Linked DNA regions of Sus scrofa. The protein of the gene in region 1 purifies or fractionates together with the protein of each later gene. This does not show direct contact. Links are inferred from orthologs where the notes say so. Each region holds a gene or a part of one and is shown in the gene's direction. Other genes may lie near its edges.

The links. The genes of interacting proteins can lie anywhere in the genome.
Region 2: the proteins of CTCF (region 1) and RPL28 purify together in Homo sapiens (affinity purification with mass spectrometry; 3 studies listed by BioGRID and IntAct, with this or other methods). This does not show direct contact. The link is inferred for Sus scrofa from reciprocal best matches to the Homo sapiens genes CTCF and RPL28.

The regions. Positions count from the first base shown.
Region 1 is NC_010448.4:28,231,939-28,238,350, forward strand, and holds the start of CTCF (CCCTC-binding factor (zinc finger protein)), read left to right. Parts: upstream 1-2,651; 5' UTR 2,652-2,660; coding exon 2,661-3,441; intron 3,442-3,791; coding exon 3,792-3,962; intron 3,963-6,412.
Region 2 is NC_010448.4:59,554,322-59,560,699, forward strand, and holds RPL28 (60S ribosomal protein L28), read left to right. Parts: upstream 1-2,264; 5' UTR 2,265-2,323; coding exon 2,324-2,399; exon of another isoform or gene 2,400-2,526; intron 2,527-2,660; exon of another isoform or gene 2,661-2,740; coding exon 2,741-2,829; intron 2,830-2,924; coding exon 2,925-3,048; intron 3,049-4,584; coding exon 4,585-4,703; intron 4,704-4,880; coding exon 4,881-4,970; 3' UTR 4,971-5,016; downstream 5,017-6,378. Other genes in the region: TMEM238 (transmembrane protein 238), read right to left, coding at 2-538.

The DNA.
Region 1 (6,412 bases):
ACATCTTTGTCCTCTCTTCCTAACCTTTCTCCTATCCTGTGCTTTTGAGCTAAATCTTCTATTCTTTTTCATAACCAATTCTTTCATATATTTATTATTTGTCAGGGGTCCCCTTCCCTTCCACCTTTAAATGCTGCCTTTAAATGTCTTCTCCATTTGATCTCACAGCTGGTTATGTGGGGGTCTCCAAACCTACTACCTTGAGCTGTTGTATCTATTCTGTCTGGCTTTTTTTTTTTTTTTTTTTTTTTTCAAAGGAATGCACCTGCAGCATGTGAAAGTTCCTGGGCTAGGGGTCAAATCAGAGCTGCAGCTGCTGACCTATACCACAGCAACACCAGATCCAAGCCACTTCTGCCAACCTACGCTACAGTCCATGGCAACACCCAATCCTTAACTCACCAGTGGGCTAGGAATAGAACCCTTGTCCTCATGAATACTAGTCAGGAACTGTTATTTTGTCCTTCTTGTTGGACAGTAACTCATAAAACACAAGATCAGGCTTTCCTGGTCCTAGTCTTTATAGTGCTCTTTAGGTGGTCCTGGCATATGGGATCTTCTCTGACTGCTACTAAGGATAGTGTTAAGGTTCCTGAATTGGAGAAATGTGTCTCTAATAGACATAGGAAAAGCTTTGTTTGAGACTAGGGCAAGAATACAAAACAGGTTTGTTTGTTTGTTTTAGGGCCACACCCACTGCATATGGAGGTTAACAGGCTAGGGGTTCAGTCAGAGCTAAGCTGCCAGCCTACACCACAGCCACAGCAACGCAGGATCCAAGGCATGTCTGTGACCTATGTCATAGCTCATGGCAACACCAGATCCTTAACCCACCGAGTGAGGCCAGGGATTGAACCTGTGTCCTCATGGATACTAGTCAGATTCGTTTCTGCTGAGCCACAATGAGACCTCTCCAAACATTTTAGATTTTAACTTGGAATAAATCTTTTTTATACTTTTGGGTTTAGTAGAGTCATATGATTGCTATGAATTAAGTAGTTGCTCAGACTCATTTTACTCTTCAGTGTCTCAGTATTCTCAAGACTTGAGATCCAGAAACTATTTCTATTTCTACTATATATTCGTATAGTGTTTATTGTGTTCTTACCAACCTGGGCACAGTGCTAAAGTATAAAAACTACTTGTTGTACATGATCTCTTTCCTCAAGGAATGCATAGTCTCGTAGAGAAGAGAGATACATGAATGTCAAGTTGATGGTATGAGACAGGAGATGGTGTGTGGTAGCTTTACACAGGGCCATTGCAGTTTGGATCCAAGTTCTGGTTCTGGCTGAGGAAAAAAAAACACTACGATGGCGTGTTTTCTAAGGGAAGATTTAGATAAAAACAGCAAGGCCGTCTGCTAGTGTTTTTATAAATAGATCTAAGAAATGTATAATTAGGAGTTCCCGTCGTGGCGCAGAGGTTAACGAATCCGACTAGGAACCATGAGGTTGCGGGTTCGGTCCCTGCCCTTGCTCAGTGGGTTAACGATCCCGCGTTGCTGTGGCTCTGGCGTAGGCTGGCAGCTACAGCTCCGATTTGACCCCTAGCCTTGGAACCTCCATATGCCGCGGGAGCGGCCCAAGAAATAGCAACAACAACAACAAGAAAAGACAAAAAGACAAAAGACAAAAAAAAAAAAAAAAAAAAAAAAAAAAAAAAAGAAATGTATAATTAAGCTAGTTTTGAAAACAACTCTTTAATATCATTAAATATCCAGGCATGTTGCATCTCATTGTCAGCTGTGTCATCTCAGTGTCATGTTTTTTTTAACTATTTATTGGATTGAATCAGAATCCAAACAAGATCCTTATGTTGTGATTGATTGCTCTATGTCTTGAGCCTCTTTTGTCTATATCAGGGTTTCTCAACCTCTGCACTATTGACATTTGGGGGCCAATAATTCTTTGTTGTGGAGGACTGACCTGTGCATAGGAGGATGTTTAGTAACATCTGTGGCCTCTACCCACTAGATTACTGGATACTGACAGCACACCCAGCCCAGTAGTGACAACCAAAAATGTGTCCAGGCCATGATCAGAGTTCCTGCTGTGGTGCACCGGGATCATTGGCGTCTTGGGAGTGCTGGGACACAGGTTAGATCCCTGGCCTGGCACAGTGGGTTAAGGATCTGGCGTTGTTGCAGCTGCTGTTTAGGTCACAACTGTGATTCAGATCTGATCCCTAGCCTGGGAATGCCATATGCTGTGGGGTGGCCAAAACAGAAAAAAAGAAAGAAGAACCATTGACCAGGAGGTTCTCCCTCTATCCATCGTGATTTTTTTCTTGTGATTTATTTGCAGAAGAAAGTAAGTAGTTAATCCTACAGTTTCTTTCAGTCTGGATTTCATGAATTGTATTCCTGTAGTATAATTTAACATCATTTGTCATCAGTTTCCTGTTAATTGGTAATTGATTCTAGAGACTTGATTATCAGTTTCAGAATTTTTTGTTTTATTTGACAAGACTGTTTTATAAGTGGTCCATTCTTTCATTGGGAAGCACATAATACTGTTTTGTCTTTGTGTAACATTAACCATTGAACCTTATACATGCATCAGGGGGTCTTTGTTTTGTTTCAAAATGTATGTGTTTTCAGTTAGATAAGCTTCATTTTGAATAACTGTCTGTGTTCTCCCTTAATAAAGGAAGGGGAAATGGAAGGTGAGGCGGTTGAAGCCATTGTGGAAGAGTCTGAAACTTTCATTAAAGGAAAGGAGAGAAAGACTTACCAGAGACGCCGGGAAGGGGGCCAGGAAGAGGACACTTGCCATCTACCCCAGAACCAGACTGATGGGGGTGAGGTGGTCCAGGATGTCAATAGTAGTGTACAGATGGTAATGATGGAACAGCTGGATCCTACCCTTCTTCAGATGAAGACTGAAGTAATGGAGGGTGCAGTTGCACCAGAAACGGAGGCTGCTGTGGACGATACCCAGATTATAACCTTGCAGGTTGTAAATATGGAGGAACAGCCTATAAACATAGGAGAGCTGCAGCTTGTGCAAGTACCCGTTCCTGTGACAGTACCTGTTGCTACCACTTCAGTAGAAGAACTTCAGGGGGCTTATGAGAATGAAGTGTCTAAAGAGGGCCTTGCAGAAAGTGAACCCATGATATGTCACACCTTGCCTTTGCCTGAAGGGTTTCAAGTGGTAAAAGTGGGGGCCAATGGAGAGGTGGAGACACTAGAACAAGGGGAACTTCCACCTCAGGAAGATCCTAGTTGGCAGAAAGACCCAGACTATCAGCCACCAGCCAAAAAAACAAAGAAAACCAAAAAGAGCAAATTGCGTTACACAGAGGAGGGCAAAGATGTGGATGTATCTGTCTATGATTTTGAAGAAGAACAACAGGAGGGCCTGCTGTCAGAGGTTAATGCAGAGAAAGTGGTTGGTAACATGAAACCTCCAAAACCAACAAAAATTAAAAAGAAAGGTAAAAATGAGTTTATCCATTATACTCTAAATAAAACCATTTTGGGATAAAGTACATAACACAGTGCATATGCAGGTTATTTTATATTAAATGGATTTATTTTGAAGATTATGATGTGAGTACTAGTCTTTTTATACATTTTGAAAGAAGTTTTTACGGGTTGAATAATTTTTAAGTCCTAAAGAGAATAAGTAAATCTATTAGTGGCATGAGACAGTTATGACTCAGTATGAGTTAGATTGGGTTTAGTTTTTAAAAGCTAATGAAATATATTTGTGGAAATTTAAGATTAGGATTAATCTTAACACTTTGAAACTCTGCAATAAGTAAGTGTTCTATTTTGCATATAGGTGTAAAGAAGACATTCCAGTGTGAGCTTTGCAGTTACACGTGTCCACGGCGTTCAAATTTGGATCGGCACATGAAAAGTCACACTGATGAGAGACCACACAAGTGCCATCTCTGTGGCAGGGCATTCAGAACAGTCACCCTTCTGAGGAATCACCTAAACACACACACAGGTGCTGGATAAGAATGTTTGGGGTTGAGTTCCTGTTGTTGCTCAGTAACAAACACAACTAGTGTCCATGAGGATGCAGGTTCGATCTGTGACCTTGCTCAGTGGGTTAAGGATCCAGTGTTGCTGCAAGTTGCAGCATAGGTCACAGATGAAGCCAGGGTCTGGTGTTCAACCCCTGGCTGGAGACTTCCATATGTCGCAGGTGTGGCCATAAAAAGAAAAAAAAAAGAATGTTAGGGGCTACAGCATAGCAAAAGTTAAAACTTATGTTTTAAATATCGCCTTAGGTGATTCAAGTGGCAGTAAGAGTGGGAAGATTTTTTTGTTCTTTCTTATGGCACCCTCCCTGTAATCATTATTTATTATAGGCAGTTGGGCTTAGTTTCAGGCAAATGTAAATAAAATTTACTGGAAAAATAATCCAAGTTATATAAGGATGGTAATTCAGAAAAAGATTTTCTATGATATAATAGAAAATATGCATGTAATATAATTTCCTGAAGGCATCACCACTGTGTTGCTAAGGTTTTAACAACAGTAACAAAAACTAAGCCCAAAATCCTGAGCAGTAATTGCTGGGCACTACGAGGAAGAGGCACTATGAAGAACATTAGAAGTAAAAATGAGGGAGTTCCCGGAGTTCTTGTGGCACAGCGGAAACGAATCCAACTAGGAACCATGAAATTGCAGGTTCAATCCCTGACCTTGCTCAGTGGGTTAAGGATCTGGTGTTACCGTGAGCTATAGTGTAGGTCACAGATGCAGCTCAGACCTGCGTGGCTGTGTCTGTGGTATAGCTATAGCCGGTAGCTATAGTTCCAATTGGAACAGGCCCCTAGCCTGTTAACCTCCATATGCCACTGCTGTTGCCCTAAAAAGACCCCCCCAAAAAAGGAGATAAAAATGAAATTCTGCCTTTGTAAAAACCATGGTTTCTGGTTGTTTGACCTCAATGAGGATATTTTATAGTCTCAAAAAAATTTAAGACGTCATTCCGGAAATTCAGGCATTCATTCATGGTCCATACATGGTTAATATTCTGACATTAGCTTCATGTTGGTTGTGGTCAGGACCTGGGATCGCCAAAGTGGAGGAACTCTGCACTGAAGCTCTCTTTAGACTTTCTTTTGGGCTCTTTACACCTTTGGTGTTGACATTTGGCTGCAAGTACTAATAGAAACTTCTCTCACCCAGTTCTTGATGCAGAAAGCTTTCCTCTATCCAGAGGCCCCACCTCATTTTATATAACAACTCTAGTTTTTTATCTTATGTGCCAGTTTCTGATGGAACGTGATCACGTAACAGTTGGCCTCTGAGCAGTATGCTGTGCATTAGTGTATTTACTAATATGACTCAGTCGCTTTTCACTAACTCCCTAAACACTTAGTAATATGTTTTAATTGGTAGTTTGAAGGCCCTAGGAAAAGGACATAAGACTAGATAAAAGCAGCTGGCCCCATGATAGTGGGGAGTGCCTTGATGTGGGCACTGCATTTCATGGTCTAGTTCTCAGCTTTGAAAAGAAATTCAGTCTCTCTGGCTATTCCAGGATAATTTGGCAGGACTAATTCATGCCAGCCAAACCTTCAAGGGTCAGATGTATAACAAAAAAATCAGTATATGGTAAGGAATACAACTTTCATTTTCTAGATGCAGTTGTATTGCATTCTAGGGGATATCTTTGCCTTTGTCAAGGTGCTGTGGCAGTTATGAAGGGTAGCTTAGCATGGACCTTGAGCAGAGGGACATAGGCATCTCTGGGAGAATCATTTCTGCAGATTGCTGGTCCCATTCATCACATTGTGACTCTTGCTAATTCCATTCTCAAAGGTAGCCAGCTTTTGATTTTGGTGCTTGGGATTGCCTTGCTGCTCACCCCTTACCTGCAGCCTGCAATTACAGATGGTCCCTAGTTTATAAATAATAACCTACAAAAAAGCACTGTGTTCTACTGTCAACTTTATCTCCTTATTGTCTTTATTATCTGGGCATGGTATTTCCAGTGCAGTAAAAGGCTAGAGACAATCTACCAAAGTACTCTTATGTTATGGGGCTACTTTATGAAGACATATGAAAAGCGTTAAGATTATCTCAGTGAAAGAAAAATACAAAACAAATATAGAGGGTATATTATTCATAAAAACAGTTAAGTATTCCACCACTTGACATTCGGATCACAGACTGTTAGACATGGGTGTTTGAAAGTGATCTGTTTAAATCACATAAAAGGCAATACTACTTTATAAAACCTTTGATAAATCTCTAGAAATCCTTATCAAAACAAATTTATACAGGAAACATATTTGTCTGTTTTTTTAGTGTCTCTCTCTCTCTCTCTCTTTTTTTTTTTTTTTTTTTGTTTTTTTGTCTTTTTAAGGCTGCACCCACAGCATATGGAGATTCCCAGGCTAGGGATCTTATCAGAGCTACAACAACTTCAGATCCAAGCCA
Region 2 (6,378 bases), about 31 Mb from region 1:
CTCACTCGGTGCCCGCACCCGCTGCCCCAGGCCCGGCCTCGAGCGTGGCGAGCTGCAGGCGCACGCGGCGGGAGCCGGCGGCCGGCGGCGGGGGCGTGCGGGCGGCGCGGCGCGCTCCCCGGGAGCCGGGCGCGGCGCGCCGGCCCGCCGCGGAGGAAGCTGGCGCCGACCAGCGGCGGGAGAGCTTTCGCGCGAGGCGGGCGAGCGCCGAGGGCCGCAGGCCGTAGTCGCGCTCGAGCTCCTGGCGCGAGATCTCGATGTTGCCGGTGTACCAGAGGATCCAGCCGAGCAGGCTCAGGAAGACGAGCAGCGCGCCCGAGTAGATGAGCAGGTCGCCGAAGTCCCGGCCGCGCACCTGCAGCTGCGCGAACACGCCGGTCAGCAGCGCCGCCATGCCCGCCACGTCCAGCGCCACGGCGAGGAGCAGCGCCATCCGGCAGCGGCCCAGGCCGGACGAGGGCACCGGCGCGCCCGCCGGCGGGAACGGTGCGCCCGGCGGGGCCCCCTGCGAGGCGCCTACCGCCGGCGCCGCCGCCATGGCCGTGCTCCGCCGCCGCCGCCGCCGCTGGCTCCGACCGAGAGCTTTCCGCGTTCCGGGCGCGGCCCGGCCCGGGGCGGGGTCAGGGGACCGCGCCAGGTGTGCCCGGCTCCCGCCTGGTCACCTGAGCAGTACAGACTGGCCTGGCCCGGAGGCGATCTAGCTGTGTTTTCTGGGCAGGACCTGGCCTTCAGAAGCCTATGCTGGGAACAGCGGGACGCAAAGATGCGTGCGGCCTCTGTATCCCAAGGAACTCGGAGCAGCGCATGGTCAAAATTCAGGGTGTTCTAGTGGAGGCAACGTAGGGCGCTCTGGGAGCCCGAGCATAGTTTCTGTTCAGTGCCTACCTCCAGGCGCCTCCGCCCCCGGTGCACCAGTGGGAACAGATGGGGTGAAAAAGAAGGATCAGACAAGGCCCTGAACCTCAAGGAACTCTGGGAGGCAGGGAGTCAACAGAGTGCCTTAAGGAAGGAAACGGCTCCGTGGAGCTGAGGCTGCTCTCAGTCACTGCCGGCCTCCTGTGTGGCCCAGAGCGAATGATTAATGATCGCAAAGGCGGATCAGACACTCACAGGAACTCTGCCGCCACCATCGGATCAGAGCTCCGTGATGAAGGCAGGAGGGTAACCCCCAACATTCCCGTTGGCTCAGGTTTCTCCTGGGGTCTTTAGACTCTCAGGATGTATTACTCGCGAAGTCCAGGTGCACAGAGAGATGGACCAGACAAGGTCCCTGCCCTCCCCTCGAGGAGTTGCTGGACATGATCACATCAAAGCGCGCTAATGGGGTGCCAAGGGACTGTCATTCCTTTTGTTCCCTTGGAGTCTCTGTGCTGGTCAGGCCGAAGACACAGAGATATATCAGGCAAGGTTCCTGCTCCTTAAAGATGACCCTGACGACAGAAAACAAACGTCTATAAAGTGTAACAGGTGACATGGGGCAGGCTGGAGGAGGATGGGGGAGGCCGCGGGGCACAGGGAAGAGGCAGGGCAAACAAGTATGGAAACCCTCAAGGAACCAAGAGCTTTCCCAGACAAATCTTTTCCTCCAAACGCAACTCGCCCTTAAGAGGAAATCCACGGTTCCCTGCGGAGACAGTCTGCGAGAAGGTTCCGTCAGGCTTCTCTCTAGACTCAAATAGCTCTGGATTTAATTTTAAGACGGCCCTGGGGAGGGGGAAATAACAGGGGGTTCCTGGAGTTAGCCGAGGGGTTCCGAACGTAGCCGATTGGAGATCGACTGTTTCCGAGCAGATCCGAAGGGGCACGGGCCAATAAGTGGGAAGGCGGCCGCCCCTCCGAAGAGCGTTTCCGGAGAGTTTCGAAAATGTCCGAAACTACTTAACTACCTTCTTCGGGAATAGCCGAGGGCCTACGAAGAAGACTGGAAGCACCCGAAGACTATGGAGCAGAGCTAGGTTTTAATAGTTCAGGCACTCTCACGTTCCTTCATAAAACAAATATTTATTGAGTTGAGCATCCATTCTGTGGCCAGCAATGGGTGGCAATATTGGAAGAGGCCGCTGAGGAAGGGGCCGTGGGGCTTCTAGAGGTGGACACAATCGGAAACCCAGCCGTGGGCTTCCGACAACACAAGAAGGGCTATCCAAACTGTCCCCTTCCGCGTCGAGAACACGCCCTCGGGTCCCTAGCCGAAGAGTTCCGAAAATCCCCGAAGGGTTTTGCGACGGGCTGGCGGAAATAGCCGAGCGTTGCCGAGCTGGTTCGGAGACGGGAGGGGAGAGGCGGGGGACAGTCGACGCGCGTGCCCAGAGAGGAAGCGGAAATGCGTGTGGGTATTAAAAGCGTCGCTCCGCCCCCGGCGTGTCTCTTTCCGTCTCCGGCCGCCGCACGGAGAGGAGGTGAGGTGCGGCCTCTTGTCCGCCCGCGTGGCCGTCTCGCGCCCGCCGCCGTGGGTCTGTGCCCTTGCCTGGCCTCTCTCGCTGCGCCGCTCGCCTCCCTGGCTGCCCCCGAGCCCCGCCGCCCTAGGTCGCTGTGCATTTTCATTTTCTTGTCGCTCGTAGTCTCGGCCGCCTAAGTTCAGCTCCTCTACCTTAGGCCGCCCAGCCCCGCCTGGCAGATTTCTAAGCGCTCTCGGCCCACACGGTTCCCCCATTCCCCAGGTCCCCACACGCGGCCTTCCCCTGTTGTTCACCGTCGGCCTGCTGCTCCCTTGACATTTCCCGGGCCCCTTCCTCCGCAGCTGCCGTTATGTCCGCGCACCTGCAATGGATGGTGGTGCGGAACTGCTCCAGCTTCCTCATCAAGAGGAACAAGCAGACGTACAGCACCGTAAGTGGGGCCCCGACGCCTGGGTCTGAGGGAGGGACCTTTACGACCGCTGGGCCCTGGCCCCTTTCGCGACCGCCATGTGTCCCGCTTCCCAGGAACCCAATAACCTGAAGGCCCGCAACTCCTTCCGCTACAACGGGCTGATTCACCACAAGACCGTGGGCGTGGAGCCGGCGGCGGACGGCAAAGGGGTCGTGGTGGTGATGAAGCGGAGATCCGGTAAGCATCTGCCCTGGCTCGGCCGGGCGACAGACCCCCCCACACGGGCGAGGAGCTATGGTTTCTCAGTGTCGGGCAGCAGCACTAAGGTTTCTTGGGGTCAGGACAGTTGCCTGGGAAGCTGGCTCTTCAAGCTTGCCCTCCCCCTGTATGAGCTGGCCAGGCTGCTTTGCTTGTTTCATCGTTTGAAAAGTCATGAATAGGTCCTCAAGTTGTCCCCTCACCAGGATTTATGTTTCGGGGAGGTATGATTCAGTGTTGTGTTTAGGATAAGTCTTTAAAACAGCTCAGTGAATGTCAGTCTCAAAGGGTGGGAAAATTGGGCAGACAGGTGGGGGCCTTTCTAGCTCCCACGTGTAGGAAGTGACAGCTTGGGTCTGAGGCAGTGGCGTGACCCCCTTTGTGGCTGCAAGGACTCAGAAGGGATGCTTAGCCTCCCACCCCCCTAAACCGCTCTCAGGCGCGGCCAGGCCTTTTTATTTAGACTCGGAGTCAAGAAGAGGCAGGGTATCACAGCTATCTTTTTGTTTTTCGGGGTGGAGGGTTTGAGATAGGAAAAGTTTTTCCTCCGTCTCTTGTGAGGGCCAGTTTCCGTTTGGGTTGAGTCCAGTGTCTTGGTTCAGTGACAGCAGTGACCACACCTGTTGCCTCCATCTCAGAGGGGAAGGGATAGCCCCTTCCCTGCGAAGCAGCCCCACGAGCAGCCAGTTCCTTGTGCTGTTGAGCTTCCCAGCTTCCCACACTCCTGAGAACCCTGTTCTGGTGTGTTGAGCCCCCAAGGCTTTGCTTTCTCTTCTTGAATTGTCGGGTGGCCCTTTCTGGGTAGTCAGAAACTGGCTTGACCTGAGGAGGTAACATAAACCTTCTCTATGGCATGGGTCCTTGGCTTCTTGGGGGAAACCAGGAGCGTGGGACCCCATCAGCCCTGTGACACGGTAAAGGGGGTGTTTTTCTTTTATCCTGGGCAGTGGAGTCCAGGCTCACTTGTGCTCAGGTGAGGGCTTACCCTAGGACTCTTAATTGCCCCTGGTCTTCCCGTGGTCCAGCATCACCCCAGCATCAGAGCCAGGCCTCACAGTGTGGCGTATTAGACATTTGGTGCAGAGGAGTTGTCTTGGGCCCTGGAGGGTGCAGAAGGGAGAGGAGCCAGAGCTGCTTTCTGGGGAGTGCCCACTCCCTGGCTGCCATAGTGCTGCGAATGCCCGCCTCAGCTGGGCTTCTCAGATTCTGATAACTGCTGTGTGCATGTGGACAAGGGAGTCCCCGTTGCTTCTGCTTCTAAATCTGTGCTGTGAGACGAGCAGTGCTGTGTCTGCACAGCTGGGTGGGGAAGACACACCTGTACAGGTGCTGGGCCTCGCCTGCCATCGTCCTATAAATTGATGCCCAGAGATGGGGCACCATGTGCAGGCTCACACAGCCCAGGCACCCACCCAGGTCCTCTGGGTGAGATCGTACCCTCGCACTAGGGGTGGGCACAGAGGACCAGACCACCCGACTGACCCCTGGGGGCTCTCTTCTCCCTTCTCCCACCAGGCCAGCGAAAGCCGGCCACTTCCTACGTGCGGACCACCATCAACAAGAACGCCCGAGCCACTCTCAGCAGCATCCGGCACATGATCCGAAAGAACAAGTACCGCCCGGATTTGCGCATGGTGAGTGGGAGCCCAGTGAGGCCGTGGCAGGTACGGGGGGTGACTCCGTGGGCGCCCAGAGAGCCCAGCCAGTGCTGGGAGGGGCGGCTTTCTGGAGAAGGGGCACCATTATCCTCCTGGAGTGGGGCAGGGTCCCAGCTCGTGGGGTGGGTGCACTGAGCCAGCCTTGCCTCCCAGGCCGCCATCCGCAGAGCCAGCGCCATCCTGCGCAGCCAGAAGCCAGTGATGGTGAAGAGGAAGCGGACCCGCCCCACCAAGAGCGCCTGAGCCCTGCCCTTCCCCAAAGCAATAAAGACAACAGTCTTCTCCTTGCCTTCGGGTGCGTGCAGCTCCTGTGCCCTGCCCCCTGCGTCTCTCACCCAGGCCCCGTCCCCAGGCCTTCTCCCACCCACTGGGACCACACGGGGCCGCACAGTGTTGGGTCTGGAGCATCACATTCTCACAGCCTGCTAATGCGTGACAGAGCTTCAAGAAGGACCTAAAGGGGTTGGTTTTTAACAGCCTCAATCTCCTGAGTGTTCTTCTGTGTTTATAGTTTTGTGGTTGTGTTGGCAGTGTGGCCTGCAAAGGTGGAAGCATTTGCTGTGTGGGAGCCCAGCTGTAGACCACGTGTTTCTCTTGGGGTGGCCTGAATACTCCAGTGGGAGCTGGGGTGGGGAGGGTCTTTTCTGGCATGCCCATGCCAGTGGGCCTCCTACCCACATGGGTTCTGGAGCAGCACAGGAGCCTCTCCAGGGGACTGCAGATGCAGTGAGTGTCCTCGGGCAGGGTGGACAGAGCTGTCAGGGCCCCCATTGTGTTCAGGGCCCAGGGTGCCCAACTCTGCTTGTCTGAGATGGAAGGCAGCACCCGCACTAGTGCGGCTCATAAATCTGGAACCTGTGACTCTGTCTTGGAGAAGGGAGCTTAGGCTGCACCAACCACCCAGGAGGAAGGCGACAGCCCCAGGCTGCCCGCCAGCAGCCATGTTCTTACTAAACAGGCTGTTCTTGGCTAAAAACCCAGCGGGCTGACTGGACCTGCACCTGCTGCTGCACCGGGAGTGCACTTGTGCAGCCTCTCCCCCCAGCTCCCCAACTCTTTGCAGCCTCTCTTGCCACCCTTCCCCCAGGCTGCGTCTTCCTCGCACAGCTCTGCCTTCTCTGACCACCAGATCTCAGGTGGCTCTGGCTTGCTTCCCGGTGGCGGCCTTGGCCATGGCGTGGGCTCACAGACCACGCCATGGGGACCCAGTGCAGAGACCAGCACCATGTCAGCACCGCACAGCTTTGCATCGGGGCAGGGAGCAGCAGTTCTGGCTGACCACACACCCAGGCACACCCAAGCTCCATTCCCCTCCAGCCTTTCCAAGCAATGGGCAGGAACCGGATGACCCGCCAAACCTTCTGCCTCCCCTGGGCCATTTCGCCTCGCCCTGGGGTCTGTTCTCAACCCCAGGAGTGGGATCCTGGTGGAACTCTGTCAGGTGACCTGAAGCCCGCTCGGCATCCCCCAGCCCACTTCCGCCTTGTTTCCTCCGGGACACCTGGCCCCTCGCTGTCCCTCCACTCCCTGCAGTTCTGCCTCCAGCCACCTGCACTTGTTTCTCAGCCTGGGCAATGTGTCCTGTTCCCCCAGTGGGCCTTGAGGTCTCTCCTGACTACTCTAAAGTGGAGACCCTTCCCTGGCCAGCTTT